Schizosaccharomyces pombe: one gene and its partners. Changing the gene in region 1 together with any one later gene gives a genetic interaction. Each region holds a gene or a part of one and is shown in the gene's direction. Other genes may lie near its edges. The genes, in order: rho3, scw1, mug33 and apl4.

Region 1 (3,871 bases):
GTTCAGTTTCCCTTTAAACCACATTCACCAATCAATGAAATAAACCACTAGCAATGAAATACAAGTTGGTTGAAAAATTTTTTTTTTCGCAATTTGAAAAACTAAAATTCTCTGAAATATCAGATTATCGCCGCAATATGAGAGAGGGTAAACTGATCGTAAAAGCAAAACAATTGAACTAAGTTGTTAATTCATGCAACCCGGTAGCAATCATCATGAAAATAATCTCTGAATTGTTGTAAGAAAAACGCATGGTAGCAAACTTAAGTCGCAAGCAGAGCAACGAGTCATAACTGATAATACGAATATTCACATAAGGAAATGAACTTTATAAACACTCAATTACAAATTTGAGGGCATAAGCAATTGCACTAACACTTTTTTACATGTTGGTTTATTATGTGTTTTGCTGACTTTCCTTTTGTTTGTTACTTTTTTGTTGTTACCAGCGCACCTAAACGAGAAAACGTGTATTGATCCCTTCACATTTTAACCTCACAATACAGAAAATGGAGAATCAGGTGTCCAGTTTTCTAATTGATTCTCCAATGGAATGGAAGACTTATATGAAAAGCTTGAGTGATGATAATCCCAGCTTTGGGGACGTAACAGTTAATTTGACGAAAATTAGCGTATCTTCAAAAAATGCAAAAAGCTACGCAGAAGAAATGTATAATTATGTAACTCAAGAGATGGTATTTATCAGTGAACGTAGTAGACTATTATTGCGCGCAAAAAGAAGGTTGTACAAAAATCAATCACTTATGAAAAAAACGTCTGTGTCAACCTCGAACACAGTAAAGATGGTATTTATGTCACTAGCAAAGCAAATTGAACAAATGCTCAAATTCTGTATGATGGTTTACAGCAAATTGTGCGAGGCGTTTGAAACAACGTTAAAGGTAGCGAAGGAGTTTCAAATTTGCGATTCTTCTCAAGAATGGTTTTTCCAATTCCAATTGGGTTATCATAGAAAACAGATGGAATTACAGATGCTTTCTTTTGTAGCCGAATGGCTTGTTTTAACTCAACATTATACAGATGCTCTGAATGACTCGGCAAAAACACTTTACGACATAATGGAAAGTAGCCATAAAGCGGCACAAAAAGTTTAAAAGCATATTCAAATGTCAAACAAAATTTTCTTCTTTTAAAGGTGCTATTCAATTCATGATTCCAACAGTTGCTGTGCAAATTAAACTATTATCATGAAACAAACCACGGTAAAGTTGGTTGTACTATTGTGTGACTCCTTTTTCAAACTCATCAAAGTACGATTTTCAATTAAATTTTAAACTTTCAATTGAAAGGGTTGCCTCAAAATTGACAAGCCCTTGGTCAACTTTCACTAACTGGTGCTGTTGATTTTCTTCCTATTTAGCAATCACGTTATATATACCGTGTATTTCATTTTGAGACTGAGAGTAGACTTCCCCAATATATTTTAGTAAAACTATCCTTCGAAGGTTTTGTTCATCAATGAATTAATGCTTTACTCATCAAAATATATTATGAAACAATCCTACTTGCGAAGTTCATTCTGTATTACGTATTTCCGTATCTCTTTTAATAAACTGGTTCGCATCGCCTTAATTATTCTAAATTTGATTGTTACCTGAAATGTAGAAGCCAATCTACAGCGCACAAGGACATGTATGTCCTTCGCTAAGCAGTAAGCTGGGGTCTTGCGTAGGCTTTAGCTCATGGTACAAAATTCGTACCTAAACCAAACACCTCTAATCCTTTATTATACAGAAACCATTGAAAAACCCATAGAAAGCTTGATTGAAGCTCATTGAAAGTATGTCAAGCTGTTTCGGAAGTAAAAAGAAGCCTATTTATCGGAAAATCGTAATTCTTGGTGATGGTAAGGATCTTGGTGAAAATTTTGTTTTTTCTTTCGTGATTTTCGCAGCTAAGCATTCTAACCGTAAATTATAGGTGCTGCTGGTAAAACCAGTTTGTTAAATGTATTTACTAAGGGTTATTTCCCTCAGGTATACGAGCCTACTATGTAAGTATCATTAATAGTGCAAAGCTGTAAACGGCGGAGCGGAAATGAGGTTACCGTCTGCAATATCAAGTATAACTCAATATGAAGCATCTTTTTTTGCAAACCTTTTATCTAACGGGTTAATTTGTGGAAATTTGTTTCATTTCTGAGGAAAACGAGAATGCCCGAGTGTGCTCTCCATACAGTCACACTCGTACAATTTCTCATGACCAAACGTCAAATTGCTTTTACTATGCTTGACCTGTTAAGGGTTTTCACCACTTCTTTACATGATTATCTTCTTGTACTTAAAAACTTTTTCCGTTATCTAACACCTAAAAATAGATTTGAAAACTACATTCATGATATCTTTGTCGATGGAAACAGTATAGAACTGTCTCTATGGGATACAGCTGGTCAAGAAGAGTATGATCAACTGCGTTCGTTATCATATTCAGATACACATGTTATTATGATCTGCTTTGCCGTGGATTCACGAGACTCATTAGAAAATGTAATCACAAAATGGCTTCCGGAAGTCTCTAGTAATTGCCCTGGTGTTAAATTGGTTCTTGTTGCTCTAAAATGTGATTTACGTGGAGCTGATGAGGAGCAAGTTGATCACAGTAAAATTATTGATTACGAGGAAGGACTGGCAGCGGCAAAAAAAATCAACGCTGTACGATATTTAGAATGCAGCGCTAAATTAAATCGTGGCGTAAATGAAGCTTTCACGGAAGCTGCACGCGTTGCCCTTGCCGCGCAACCAAGAGGTACAAAGGATGGTGCTGATGAATCCCATGGTACCGGATGTATCATTGCTTGAAAGCACTTTCTTTTGAAAGCGCCTAAAAGTCTTATTTCTAATGTTCGAAGTTTATTATTGTATATGACGTTAGTGTGGGTGTTGCGGTGGCCTTTGAATAGCGTTAACCTTTTTTCAATGGTTTGTACTTTTGACTTTTATCCCCTTTGCTGTTCTCAAGGTTTTAAATTTGACACTTGGGGATTCTGTCCGTTTCCAATGAGTTTATCTCCTTATTTCAGGTGTATTGTCTATCTTTCTTACCTTCCTACTTGAAACAGCAGGTATTTGTACAATCGTGAAAAAGAGTGTTTGCAGTGAACCTTACTTTCCTTCTTTTTTGAAACTTGTACACTTTGAGTTGTTCAATTCTCCTTCTGTTCGTGTAATCGTTGAGTTGCTAATCTAATCAATTAATCTACCCCTTTTCTTTTACGATAAGCATACTGTTGAGCAATAAGGATTAGTCTTTCGGTTGTAAGACATGGGTCTGAGTCAAATCCTACCGTTTTAGAAAGCACCTTAAATATTTATGTAATATGAAGTGTTACCCCTAAATATCGTAATTGAAGTTAAAAATTGTAAAAATTTAGACTACCCAATATGTTGTATTCGTGCATCCGTGCAACCCTAATTCAATTTGATCCATTTGAAAGTAAAACAAAATTTATTATGTCTTTATCCTTTAAATTAAAGATCCCAGTCATCCTCATCGTCTTGAACACGTCGATTGATCTAATTAAACAGTTAAACTCTGGACCATGTAATATAAACAGATGTTTTTTTTTGATATTTCTCTCCTCAGATGAATTTGAAATAAAAAAGGAGAGAAGGAATTAGTAAGGCACTTACCACAATTTTTGTTTCATTACGTTTGGAGACCTCACCAGAAATTTTTTCTAACAATTCGATAAGTTCGGGCTCTGAGATTTTATGAGATATCTGGCCCGTTTTGGCCATACGTAACAGGAGCTCTTCAACAGCTACACAAATTAGACACATGTTTACATTATTCGTAAACAGATATTAAATTATTATCCGCCGCAGAAAATGAAATCACACTTACCTTCAGC
Region 2 (4,176 bases), on another chromosome or scaffold:
ATTGTCCTTTCATTCATCTAATAACGCTTGTTTTTCTTTTTTCTTTTTTGCATTCTCAGTCTTGGTTGTTTTGCTATTTATTGCGTTCCTCGGTTTCTCCCTATTAAATATTTTCTTTTCATTGTTTTTACGGAAATTCTCATTTTTTCATCTTAGGGGCTCGTTGACTCAGCCTGCACGACAAGGAAAATTATATCCGTTTCGGAAGCACAACGTGTGTGTTGAAAGTCTTACTTTTCTTTTTTATTTTTCTGTACCCTTTCATTGAACTTTAGCCATTTGTTGCTTTGTTGAATTTTGGCCATAAATAGTTTTTCAACTGGGTTTTTATTCGACCTCCTTTCATTATTCATTTCATTTTCATATCTATCCATTTCTATCCCCACTAAACAATTTTGTGTTTTTAGGATTTCCCTATTCTCAATCCATAAAATAGTCACGATTCGTTTTCATTCAGATACCCGGCTCCTTATTTTTTTTTTTTTCGAAATTTTATTCACTCGTTTGATTTCGTTGATTCATTTCTTCCGCCTTTTACTCATTACTTAAGGGTATTTGCTTATTAAACGTTTGGTCTTTTTTTTTGCCCATCTTTTTGTTCATACAAAGTTTTGTGACATTTATATAATATTTAGTCTCTTCGTTTTTGTGTGGGTTACCTTTTTTGTTTTATTCTTTTTCTTTTTTTTTTCTCTTTCTTCCCTCTTTGTTTTTTCTTCTGACCCTATTTTATGCCTTATTATTATTTTGATCAAGTTTCAATCATTTTTTCACAAAGATTTCATATTCACTTTACTTCTTAGTTTTTTTCTTTTTATTTGAAATTTCTTGGAATCTTTTTGCCTTTTTTCTTTTAACTTGATCTCTCTTATTTAACGTTACTTAGAAAAGCTTCTTTTATTTTGCTTTTCCTTTCATTCTTCGCTCCTTTATAAACCGTGTTCATACTTCTTTTGCTTACGTTTTGCCAATCTTCCCAGCAATTTTACTTCTATCTTGATTGTTCTTGTTGTTGGATATTTACTCTTTGTTGATAGCGGTATATTTTATTTGCTTCTCACTTTTTGCCCGATTGCTTTCCTTTGATTTACCTCTCCAAAAAAAAACAAGTGTCTTTTGTTTACTTGTTTGTATATTTGTTTATACTCTGCTGATTGAAAAGTTGATTGTTTATTTTATTTTTCCATCTGCAACCATTTCTTTTTTTTTGAAAAAAAAAAAATCGCTAACTGATTTTTTTAAGCATTTCGAATACCTTCGAAGTCTTTTTATCGATACTTTTGACGATTTCTTCCTCATAAGCCTTGCCCTAGACTTTTTGTTAGCTCGGTATTTTTGCATATTTCAGTCATCTTTTTTTCATTTTCAGTTTGTGTTTTTTGCTTCACAGTTGTATCTGTCTCTCTTTTAGCAACTAGAATTATTTGTGGTGGTCAACAGTTTACCCTTTGCTCTCGTTTTCTTGAAGTTACAGTCTTTCTTTTATTATCTTCGTCCAGTATTCTAGGTTGTTGCCCTTCTAATTCTTTCGCGTCAAGTATTTGGATTTTTCTAATACTTGCTAACAATTTTTACTGAATTTTTTATTTTTCTTCATTGCCCTTGCTTATTTTTATTACTTACACACTTTCTTTTTAGTCGACCAACTAGGTTTCTAACTTTTTACTCCACTTATTAACTATTTCGTGTTATTAAGCTTGAAGCCTCATTTATTATCGTTTGGGGTTTATTTAACAACTACTGCTATTTCATTTGTGTTTTACTTTTAGGCATCTATTGCTTATTTTGGTTACTTTATCAACCACTTTGTCATTCTTTTTTCTCTTCTTTTCAATTACCATTATATATAATTTGCAAAATGTTTGTGGGATCACCGAGCGCTATTGAAAAGCCTTTATCGTTATCCAGTAAGACCAAAGTCGGGGACGAAACCGAGTTTACTGAAGATGCGCTACGTGGTTCATCGTTGGTTCCAACCGGTATTCTGAATGGAGATGATGAATGTCATGCTCTTCACATGTCTCCTCAGGCTATTCACAGCCAAGCTGGGAAAGCTGAATCTGACGGTTTACCTACTTATGCATCTGTGGAAAAATCCACAACTCCGATTGGTAGACTCCTCTCTAACCTCAACGGTGGATTAGCCTCTGCTCCTCCTAAGGTTGGATTCGGTTTTCCTAGATATTATGCTTTGCGGATTGAGGATTTACCTAGGGACTTAACACCCAGAGAGTTTTTATGTACCTTTTTATTCGCTACGAATGTAGTATCCGTCGAGCTTAATCCTGTATCCGTGGATAATGAAGTTGCTCATGGATTGGCGGTGTTTTCATCCCGAGATGCTGCTGCATCTGCTAGAGACACTTTGCTATCTAGCGATGTTTATTCCGCGTGCAGCATGATAATTTTAGACAATTATCGAAAGGGAAGTCAAACAAATCTTAGCGACGAAACTGAGGGCTCTGAGAGTAGTGTTTCATTTAACAGACTGTCTCGAAACCATTCTCCAACTCGTCCACTGTTAGGAAATCGTGATCTTTTCCGCAGGTCAAGTAATCATGTGTCAGCCAGTATGCCTACTGCAAATCATTCGGAATCTGCTTATCGTCATTCAAAAACACCTTTGGGTGATAGCACTTTTCAGGCTCCTAACAATGGAGGTAGTTTGCATTCCGATAGGTTGTGGTCTTCTTTCCCTGTTTCTTATCCTTTAACACTCGCGAATGTGTTAGCCAAGGATGAAGTTGGTTCACCTACGTGGTCACCCACTCCTTCCAAAAGTAGTACCAATTTGCGTCAAGACGGTGTTCCTCCGATTTTGCGATTTAACTCATTATCTATTAACACCAACGTGGCGCGCAATTACCTTTCATCTGAAAAGGGTTATAGCGCTCATACCCAAAATTCTAGTGCTCAATCACCCCATCCTCGTGTCTTTTCGGCAAACAGTGCATTCAGTACAACAAGCCCTCCTCCCTTGACACCATCAACATCAAGAGACTACCCATTTTCAGCTTCTACCATTTCACCTTCCACACCATTTTCGGCTTATTCCTCCAGTCATGGAATTCATCAACGCATCCCTGCTTCTACCCCCACGAATACCAACCCTGCTGATCAAAATCCTCCTTGTAACACCATTTATGTTGGAAATCTTCCTCCTTCTACTTCCGAGGAAGAGTTGAAAGTTTTGTTTTCCACTCAAGTTGGATACAAAAGACTTTGTTTCCGCACTAAAGGCAATGGCCCCATGTGTTTTGTTGAATTTGAAAACATTCCATACGCCATGGAAGCCTTGAAGAATTTACAAGGTGTTTGTCTTAGCAGTAGCATTAAAGGTGGTATTCGTTTGAGTTTTTCGAAGAACCCATTGGGAGTGCGCTCATCAAGTTCATCGCATAACAACCATAATGGAAACGTTCGTAACCTTCACTCTGGTTCCATGAATAATTACAATACAGACTCTTTGCTTAATCATACTGGTGGACATAACGAAGTCCACGCCAGTCCCAGTTGGGGTAATAATCTAATGTATGGCAAATAGCTCATCTAGCATTTTCTCGTCTTCATTTTATCATTATTCATCAATACCTTGCAAGGACTTTAGGTCCAAATTTTTTAAGCATATTGTTTCTCTTTTTTTTTTTTTGAGTTTTGCATATTGATTCTTTGTTAATCAAAAGTTGCGATCTATTCCACTTTGACTGCATGCAACTTTAACCATCTGTTAAGCTTAATTACAATTTGTCGATTTATGCGATCTGTTTTATTTCACTCTTATATAAGATGGGTACTTGCATTGTTTAGTTGTCATTAGGATTTATCATTTGCTCATCATTTCCATATACTTCTGCTACACATATCAATTTACATAATAATATCGACTTTTGCTTCTAAATGAACCCATCTTAAATTGCTAAACAAGTACTGTAACAACTTGGTTAGATGTATTTTTATTGTAACACCCAACTTAAGCTTACATACAAGAATTTTTAGGATACATTGATAAGCAAACACTTAATCCTTTTATAAATATTAGTATAGTCTAGGTGAATAAAATATTTCCAACAAAAACTGTATAATAGTAATCCCGTCCTTTCCCTATTAAGTTGAAATTGATTTACTTTTTTTAAAATTGCGAGGAACTTTAGGCATGCTTCGTCCTTTTCACAGGCG
Region 3 (4,140 bases), on another chromosome or scaffold:
TAAATTTTTTGTTTTCATTCCTCACTTTTATTTTTGGTTTTCATTCTTCCCTTTTATTTTTATTTTTTAGGGTTCATGTTTCCTTTTTTCCACTCAAGTTTTTATTTTTATTTTTTTTCCCTTTTATTTTATTTTCTTTTCCTTTCGTCTCGTTTTATTTCCCTTAATTCCTACTTGGTGTAACTCATCGCACAAACACCACGCTACCACTCATAGTCATATTAGGTGCCTTTGGATTATTTGCTCGCTGCACCATTTTTCTTCTCCTTCCTTTTCCCTTTTACCATGTTGCCCACTCTCGTTAGGTAACGCTCGCATCCGCTATTTTTCAAGTCCTTTTCTTATTATATTATGTCTCTACACTAGAAACATTTTCACATTCTAGTTACGATCCCAGTTAATCAAAATAAAACTTTTTTCAAATACAATATGTTATAGCTTTGTAAACACTTTTCCATTTCCTTGAATACGTTTCTTCCTTGAAAAACACTCCTACAAAACTCATTATTATCTTGAGATTAATAATTCCTTATAATCTTAATGTTACATATATACTAATGCAAAATATAATTTTAAACAGTAAAAATAAAAAAGTCAAAAGGATAGAAACAGACTGTGAACTACTTGTAGCATATTAATGATTTGTATATATATTCGTTCTCTTTTTCGCATGCCAACTTTCAGTCTCATCACTTATTCATTTTGTTTACATAGTATGCAACTGTCTCCATATCCTCCTTCAACTACCTCATCTCTCTTTTCTGCTTTTTCAGAAATCAATGATTATTCACTGTACGTCGCTAAACAAATAACGAATCCAATGCTGAAAGTCACTATTGATAAGAAAACAGCTATTGGCAATACAAACCCGTATGGTCTCACTATTACCTTTTAGCATTGCTAAAAACACACTTTCCGTTATGCATCCCTCCAACACCTTATTCGTTCTTCTTTGCTTGCTACATGGTATGGGGGTTAATTGAGTCGTGCAAAAAGGCTTAAAGAACGCTATGCCTATTCATCATCCTTCTTTAAATGATTGACTTTATCATTCCTGTATATCATTAGTAAATTTCCTTGTCTCATACAAACATAATCTCTCCCTTCTTTCCTCTCTTCTCTCTCATTCTCATCTTACCAGAAAAGTGTCTTGCTACCGTCTCCCCATGGATACTTTTTGAAGCGCAAATTTTCAAAGCTAAACCATTCATTAGTCCCTTCCTTTCATTTCTTCTCTATCTTCTTCATACCTATAACCAGGGTCCGTATCTTCAACATGCTTGGCATGCTCTTGATGCTTGCAATCTATCTCTTGTTAGTCGTTGCAAATCTTCACATTACACTTTTACGTACAAATATAATACGCATTGGCACTAGCCAATATCAATGCTGGTCCACCAATGCTGGCAAATGTTAGCTACCACACAAATTCTTCACTTCCTCATGTTCATACTAATAAGTCACTTTCTTCCAGAATTCTATAAACCCGTTAGTAAGATAAATTTCTATTCCCACAATTCACATACCACTGCTACGCTTTGCATGCTCCTCTTCTGCTTGAACCTCTTCAAGCCAGTTCACCTTTGCTTCGTTACTATAAGCTCGAAAGCTGAGCAAACCCGCTCTCTTAGGAACGCTCGTCTTCAATGTTCTGGATAGGAAGCCAATGTTACGATTCATCATGCTCATTACACTAACAAATTCGCTTTTTTACGATGTTTTCAAGGAGATGGGAGTTGTTGCTTGTGAACATTCTGCTCCTCCCGTACCTTCGTAATTCTACCCATATACTGTAGTAACGCACCGTGTGCATTCTTCTACCTCGGTACAAATTTACCTTAGCAATGTTTAGCGTTCAGTTGCGTAGCGTACCGTACTACTGAAGTGTGGCGCAAAGGGGGAATGAAGTCAAACAACGTTTAACTCAACCACAACCAACAACAAAAACCTCATCATATCTCACCACCAAAAATCGCCTTTCCGCCAAATACATAAAAGCGACTTCAAGGACAAATTATTTCTTTTTTCCATATTAGGAATTGGTAATTTAAACACTTTTAGTCGAATTGAGAGCCTTTTCGTTCATTGCTACGTACCAAATTGCCCTTTCTCAACTTCTGCCTTCCCCTCGGATTTCATCTCTTTTTTGATCGTTTCTCGCTGTAGAGGAACAAAAAGGAAATCTTTAAATCCTAACCGTGCAAAGTTGAACTTTGTTGGTAGCTAGCAAAAGCTCAAAAACTACTCTCTCAAATCACCCTCCAAAGCTTTTCCGCTTTTTTTTAAAAAATGCGGATTCGTAGTGCTACTCCTTCCCTTATCTTACTGGTTATCGCCATTGTCTTTTTCGTCTTAGCTATATGTACTCCTCCTCTTGCAAACAATCTTACTTTAGGAAAGTATGGAGACGTTAGATTTGGCGTTTTCGGTTACTGCTTAAATTCAAATTGCAGCAAGCCTTTAGTTGGTTACAACTCGGATTACCTTGATGAACATGCAAAGGACGGATTTCGTACCTCCGTTATTGTGCGTCAAAGAGCTTCCTACGGCTTGGTGATTGTTCCCGTGTCTGCCTGCATCTGTCTCATATCCACCATTATGACTATATTCGCCCACATTGGTGCCATTGCCCGCTCTCCCGGCTTCTTCAATGTCATTGGAACCATAACATTCTTTAACATTTTTATCACCGCCATTGCTTTCGTTATCTGTGTCATCACTTTTGTCCCCCATATTCAATGGCCGTCATGGCTTGTGCTCGCCAATGTCGGCATTCAACTCATCGTCTTGCTTTTACTCCTTGTTGCACGCAGACAAGCCACAAGGTTACAGGCCAAGCATCTTCGTCGCGCCACCTCTGGCAGCTTGGGTTACAATCCGTACTCTTTGCAAAACAGCAGCAATATCTTTTCTACTTCTTCTCGCAAGGGAGACCTTCCCAAATTCAGCGATTATTCTGCCGAAAAGCCTATGTACGATACCATTTCCGAGGATGATGGTCTCAAGCGTGGAGGCTCTGTCTCAAAATTGAAGCCTACTTTTAGCAACGATAGTCGTTCTCTGTCTTCCTATGCCCCAACTGTTCGTGAGCCCGTTCCCGTTCCGAAATCTAACTCGGGCTTCCGCTTTCCGTTTATGCGCAATAAGCCTGCAGAACAGGCTCCTGAAAATCCGTTTAGAGATCCTGAAAATCCCTTTAAAGATCCCGCTTCAGCTCCAGCTCCAAATCCATGGTCGATTAATGATGTTCAAGCCAATAACGACAAGAAGCCCAGCAGATTTTCATGGGGCCGCTCGTAAATTATCGACCAATCGAGTTTTATCTATCATTTATCATCTCTACATGTTTTCTAATTTCACTTTCAAAGCATTTTTTAACCGTCCCCCCTTTACCTTTTTCCTTTATTTAGTTGATACTTATATGGTACATATGTGTGTGTTTAATGTCACTGTTTCTCAATAGAATTTATCTGTTTTAAGCTAGTTGAATGTAAGAAGAGTTGGAGGGGTTTTCTTTTATTTTTTATTCTTTCAATAGGGTTCTTTTTCTTTTTTTTTAATATATATATATTTTTAGACGACCTTCACGTTTCATTATGCTTATTCATTTTGTATGTGCCATCCAGAAATCGAATTATTATTTACACTATGGTAATGGCGAGTATTATGGTGTATTATGTATTGTGATTATTAACCTTTACACAACAGCGAAACAATCTTGCTATTTGAAAGGTAAAAATGTTTCAAGCTATATCTTCACAAGTCATACTAGTTGGATGATTTGGTGAATGCAGCGCGAGATGATTGTGAAACATCAGATCCATCCAACCATTCTAAGTGTGGACATGCCAATAAAATAGCTTCAGCATACATTTTTCTTCTTGTTCTCCATGCCTCAGACAAAGTGGAACTAAAGGCCAGCTCTTTCTCCTGCCATTGCTTTTGCGGGTCTTCTTTTCTATGATGACCTTTTTGGTTGATACTTTGTTGGTATTTTGAGGCTGCAGAGAGCTCATAAATAGAGTCGTCAATTACGGGATAAATGTTGAAATTAAGAGGATTCATGCGCAGATCCAGTACGTTTAACTGTTTCAGGTTTGCCAATATATCACATAAATTTCGCATCTTTTTGATTCTATT
Region 4 (5,276 bases), on another chromosome or scaffold:
AACAAATTAGACTGAAAGTATTTAAAAATAGTGCCAACAACTGGTCTTCCAGTCAATTCGAAATTTTCTAAAAAGCTCATGAAAATCATAATAGAGACAGCAACCCAAAATAACACAAAAAATCCAGTAAAGTCTACCGCATTACGTTGATAATTACGAGCAAAAATCGAGGGAGTAGGAGATAATTCCAGAGGTCGGTAAGCGGCCCTAGACCTTCGAAGGTCAATTTTTGAGGTTTCAGAAACACCTTTGAACGTCTGTTCCAAGTTGACATCCGATGGTTTGGATTTAGCGGGTGTTGCAGCAATCATCTTTAAATAACCAGCAATTAAAGCAACTAAGTGAATATATAACAAAAAAGATAAATATATAAAGAAAAAGATAAAACAAAAAAATAACGTAAAATCAGCAGCTACGTATCGCGAACAGTATCAAAGAAATTGAAAAAGAAGCGGATATGAACGTAGGAAGATTAAATTTATTTTTTGCTTCGCTTCTAAATAAAAAATTGAGGAATGAAAGCAAGAAACTTAGAAATGTAATCTATTGATGGAAGTTCCAACTTGGAATTTCAAGATGACAGAACTGGTATGACGAAAACTCCACAGTCGTGATTCCAAAAATAAAAATTCTATGCCAAATGTTCCACTATAGAATGGAAGTAAATAAAAAGCTCGAACTCCTAAGCAATTCACGTTCTATGCGATTTATGTAAGGAAAAGCCAAGTCTCCAGTTTCAAAATGAGCAAAGGAGTTGATAAGTTAGAATTGCGAGCTAAGACGATGAACCACCTGATCTCAGCAATATCTGCAATACTACACCACGTTATGTAAAATTTCGTTACGTATCACTATATATCACATGTCCTATTCATTTATCCGCTATATGTGATACGACATTGGCACTTGCTTATTGTAGCTTATTACCAAATGACTGACAGGTACAAACAAAAAAGAATGCTCAATCGAACCTTTTTCCCTTAGTTTACATATTATGAGCATTTCAATAATAATTTACAATAACACCTTAATACCCGATTTTCGCGTTACCTGCATATCGCAATATAGTAGTGCACAAATACAACTCACTGTGATTTAACGTGCCATTAAAACTGGTTACAAACTGCATAGTTAAGAAGCAAAGCCACATAGCGTGGTCAAGAACGAATAGAGAAACATAAATTCCAGATATTGCCCATCAATTAACAACTCCATATAGCAAATTCGATAGGATAATTCAAAAATTACACAGATAACCAAAGGAAGCTAGGTATTCTTTTAATTTGTGCAGTATTGGTGAATGCATCAGTTTTGAGCGTCGTTTAAAGCTGCATCCTATTTTGTTAAGTGAAATTGATTTGATTTTCATTGTTTTATATATTCTGTGTTTAGATTGCGTTTTTCTGTTTGCTTTCAATACATCTCATAGAAATGCAAGTTAATATTTACTGGAATCAATTATAGTAGGAACGTAAAATATCTCAGTGAATATTGGTACGGATGGAAAGATAACTTTAGTATTGCACATGGATTTTATTAAGAACCTCTAATAAGGGAATGTGTATTAAACGTAATATGATTACTGAAAAGCACAAAAACCATACCTAAAAAATATTCAACTCTTAGCCATAGTACACCTTCTTAAATGTACTTGCAATAAGTGGTAACATAATATTAAGTTAATCAATATAAATGGTATTTACATCTGCTTAATAAAAACTAGGAATTATAAAAAAAGACACTTCAGCTGACTTAACGTAACACAGCAGCAACAAAACAAATTAAAATTTATTTTATTTAAAGCATATTTTTTAGTATTCATTATTGATAGATTGACGAAAGAGTCGCAACGTTAAATTCGTTTTAAAGAAATTTACCGTGCAATACCCTACCGCATGTACAAGCAACAGCCAAGTAATGCAAACAACACATCCAAAGAACCTGCATCTTACTTGTTCGGGAGTGGAAAGAGGTTTCACCAATTCCCCAAAGACGCATCCAAAGATGTCAAGTTTAAAATCTTTTATAAAGGCTGTTCGGGCATCCAAAACGACTGCTGAGGAGCACACAACGATTCTCAAAGAGTCGGCTCAAATCAGAAAAAACATTCGTCAAGGTTCTAATGACATGCGTATGCGCAGAAAAAATGTTGCCAAGCTGCTATATTTATTTCTACTCGGTGAGCCGACACACTTTGGTCAGATTGAATGTTTAAAATTGTTGTCGAGTTCGCGATTCATGGATAAACGTTTGGGATACCTAGCAGCTATGCTTCTGTTAGACGAGAACCAGGAAGTTTTGACGTTATTGACAAATTCTCTTCAAAATGACTTGAAATCTAGAGACAAATTTATTGTGGGGTTGGCATTATCTGCGTTTGGTAATGTCGCTGGCCCTGAGCTTGCAAGGGATTTGTCAAACGACATAGCCGAACTTTGCTCTAACCATCATAATTATATATCAAAGAAGGCTGTTCTCTGTGCACTTAGAGTAATTCAAAAAGAACCGGATTTGGAAAGTTTATATATTGAGAAAACCGATGAATTGTTACATTCAAAAAGTCATGGTGTTTTAATGGCTGCTCTTGCTTTTGCCATCAGTGCTTGCAAAATAAATCCGTCGCTAATATCCCGATTTGAAAGTCAAGCTGACGATTTGATTTATCGTATTCGTCAATTGTCCACTAGTACTTACTCCTCTGAGCATAACATTGGCAATATATCTGATCCGTTTTTGCAAGTTAAAATCCTTCAGTTTTTGTCAATACTTGGTCAAAATAACCCTAAAATTTACGACAAAATGAGTGATCTTTTAGCTCAAGTCTGTACTAACACTGATTCCTCTAGAAATGCAGGTAATGCTATTCTTTATCAAGCTGTGCGTACCATCCTTGATCTTAATTCTGACAGTAGCCTTCGAGTTTTGGGGGTCAATATTTTAGCAAAGTTTTTAGGTAATCGTGACAATAACACTCGTTATGTTGCTCTTAATATGCTGAAACTCGTTGTAAATAGTGAAGAAAATGCAGTTCAGCGTCACCGATCAACTATCCTTGCTTGTCTTAATGATGTCGACAGTTCTATTCAATCTCGTGCGCTTGAACTTTCTACATTTCTCGTTAATGAGGCGAACGTTCGTTTCATGGTGCGTGAGCTTTTATCATTTCTTGATAACGTTTCTGATGAATTACGTGGATCCACTGCTCAATATATTACAGAAGTCACAAATGCTTTTGCTCCCAATAAGCGATGGCATTTCGATACCCTTCTACGAGTCTTCAAATCTGCTGGCAACTTTGTCAGTGAATCGACTCTTTCAACGTTTTTACGACTCATAGCTAGTGCTCCTGAACTTCATGAATATGCTGTGGTAAAGTTGTACGCTGCTTTAAAGGAAGATGTATCTCAGGAAGCTTTAACTCTTTCTGCTTTTTGGGTAATTGGAGAATATGGTCAGATGCTTCTTTCACCAACAATGAATTTTGATGATGATCAAACCCTTCCTCATTCTGTTTCAGAATCTGATATTGTGGACATTATTGAGGAAGTATTTAATAGCGTTGAAGCATCTAGGTACATAATTGTTCAATATGGTCTTTTCGCTCTCACGAAGTTAAGTGCTCGTCTAGGTTCTTCTTCTACTGCTTCTCGTATTGACAAGATAATTTATTCCTATAAGAGAAACAAGAACACCGAGGTGCAACAAAGATCTGTCGAGTTCCACCTTATATTAAATGACTCCAAATTGAGCAAGACAATTCTAGAACCAACTCCCGCTCCTCTGCCTCCTCCTAGGACCACGCCTTATCAAAATGCGGAGCAAAAGCTAAAGGCTAACAAACACGTAGAAAAACGTGTTCAGGAAAGCAACGAATTGCTAGACCTCATTGGGTTAACTACCCCTTCTGTTGCTGAGCCCTTAGAAACACCAGTGGATGAAATGACTCAAAGCCCTCAATCCAGCTTAAGCCGCGCTCCTTCTACTTCCAAAAAGAGTCATTTTGAAGATATCCTTGGTTTATTTGCTTCTCCGGCGCCTTCAGCTCAACCGGTTGACAGCTTGGCAAGCAGCTTTGCTTCTTTGGACTTTAATGCTTCAGCCAGCCAACCATCAAACAACTTGTCTTTGCTTTCTTCCATACCATCAACTTCCAAATCATACCCTCCTATTGTTGTATTTGATAAACACGATGTGACGTTAACTTTGGTGCCATCCAAAGAAGAAAGTACCAAAACAGCCGTCATTGAAGCTAAATTTAAAAATAAAAATCCAATGACTAGGGTTGAGAAAATACATCTAGAAGTGGCAGTTCCCAAATCACAGAAACTGAAAATTCAGCCCTTGAGGACTACAAGTATGGAGCCTGGTGGAGAAACTTCTCAAACCCTGCGGGTTCATGGGCCATCGGGTTCTCAAGTCAAACTGCGTCTACGTATCTCTGTGGTCCGACAAGGTGGATCAAATACTCTCGATCAGGTAGATTTTGGAAAGTTGCCATCTGACCTTTTACAATAGTATCCGAAGTATGGACAATGCCATTTAAAATATAACGCTCGAGCTATCAAAGAAGATTTCTGACATGATCCATGCTACACTTTTTGATGGGTCTAGTCAGTTTTACGAGAAAATGTTCGTAGAATAGTGAATAATGAGGTAATAGAAAATGAAAGCTCTAATTGTTTTTATGAAAGAAAATAGGTTTTTTTTTATATAATTTTAGCAATTTTCTCGATATGGAATCATGGTATACTTATTGGATAAGTTCACTTATGTAATTTTCAAATTGAGACTTGCTCATTCTTTATTGTATATCATTGAACGGAAATTTGACCTTCCAAACCCTTCATTAAGAAGTGGTCGGATTTAGAATTAAAGCTGTAATATTATTTTAATAGAAGTGCATACCTCCAATACAATCGCAACTAGAAAAGTATAAAATGTAAAATCCTAAACTTATTTCCTTTAACAATTGATCAATGCAATAATTAAGCCTATGAATTATATATTAACTAACAGAGAGTAAATCCAACATTAGAAAGCATTAGTCTTGCTTTAAGCTTTTTCAGTACTATGCGCACGTTCAGAAATTAACTGTTGTATATAAAATGCTATTGCATTTTGATTTTGTGTTTCCAGAGACCGCATTCGCTCTTTTAAATCTCTTTCTAAATCCCATGTAGGCTTTTTAGGTCGCAAAGTTACCAAATCTAGTTCTTCAACAGGAACAGAACTTTGTTCTTCAATTTTTCTCTTAGTCTTTTCTTCAATCTCCTTCG

Evidence for each region.
Region 2: mutations in rho3 (region 1) and scw1 impair growth when combined (synthetic growth defect), as found in Schizosaccharomyces pombe (one study listed by BioGRID).
Region 3: mutations in rho3 (region 1) and mug33 impair growth when combined (synthetic growth defect), as found in Schizosaccharomyces pombe (one study listed by BioGRID).
Region 4: of rho3 (region 1) and apl4, extra expression of one rescues a mutant of the other (dosage rescue), as found in Schizosaccharomyces pombe (one study listed by BioGRID).

What each region holds. Positions count from the first base shown.
Region 1 is NC_003424.3:1,039,732-1,043,602, forward strand, and holds rho3 (Rho family GTPase Rho3), read left to right. Parts: upstream 1-1,717; 5' UTR 1,718-1,803; coding exon 1,804-1,867; intron 1,868-1,941; coding exon 1,942-2,014; intron 2,015-2,248; exon of another isoform or gene 2,249-2,338; coding exon 2,339-2,819; 3' UTR 2,820-3,352; downstream 3,353-3,871. Other genes in the region: karyogamy protein Tht2, read left to right, coding at 510-1,115; SPOM_SPAC23C4.09C (chaperonin-containing T-complex associated protein), read right to left, coding at 3,489-3,533, 3,651-3,781, 3,865-3,871. UniProt on the Schizosaccharomyces pombe protein: Involved in controlling cell shape and septation. Regulates cell separation by modulating the function of the exocyst complex. Involved in post-Golgi vesicle transport. Involved in driving sexual development in a palmitoylation-dependent manner.
Region 2 is NC_003421.2:671,618-675,793, forward strand, and holds scw1 (RNA-binding protein Scw1), read left to right. Parts: upstream 1-1,858; coding exon 1,859-3,544; 3' UTR 3,545-3,634; downstream 3,635-4,176. Other genes in the region: p21-activated protein kinase inhibitor Skb15, read right to left, coding at 4,148-4,176.
Region 3 is NC_003421.2:2,045,647-2,049,786, forward strand, and holds mug33 (protein mug33), read left to right. Parts: upstream 1-1,932; 5' UTR 1,933-2,289; coding exon 2,290-3,300; 3' UTR 3,301-3,640; downstream 3,641-4,140. Other genes in the region: cox13 (cytochrome c oxidase subunit VIa), read right to left, coding at 1,015-1,054, 1,139-1,198, 1,251-1,305, 1,354-1,403, 1,454-1,478, 1,527-1,689; SIN component scaffold protein cdc11, read right to left, coding at 3,769-4,140. UniProt on the Schizosaccharomyces pombe protein: Has a role in meiosis.
Region 4 is NC_003421.2:2,400,063-2,405,338, forward strand, and holds apl4 (AP-1 adaptor complex gamma subunit Apl4), read left to right. Parts: upstream 1-1,934; 5' UTR 1,935-2,004; coding exon 2,005-4,515; 3' UTR 4,516-4,741; downstream 4,742-5,276. Other genes in the region: acyl-coA-sterol acyltransferase Are2, read right to left, coding at 1-311; protein Cwf18, read right to left, coding at 5,053-5,276. UniProt on the Schizosaccharomyces pombe protein: Adaptins are components of the adaptor complexes which link clathrin to receptors in coated vesicles. Clathrin-associated protein complexes are believed to interact with the cytoplasmic tails of membrane proteins, leading to their selection and concentration.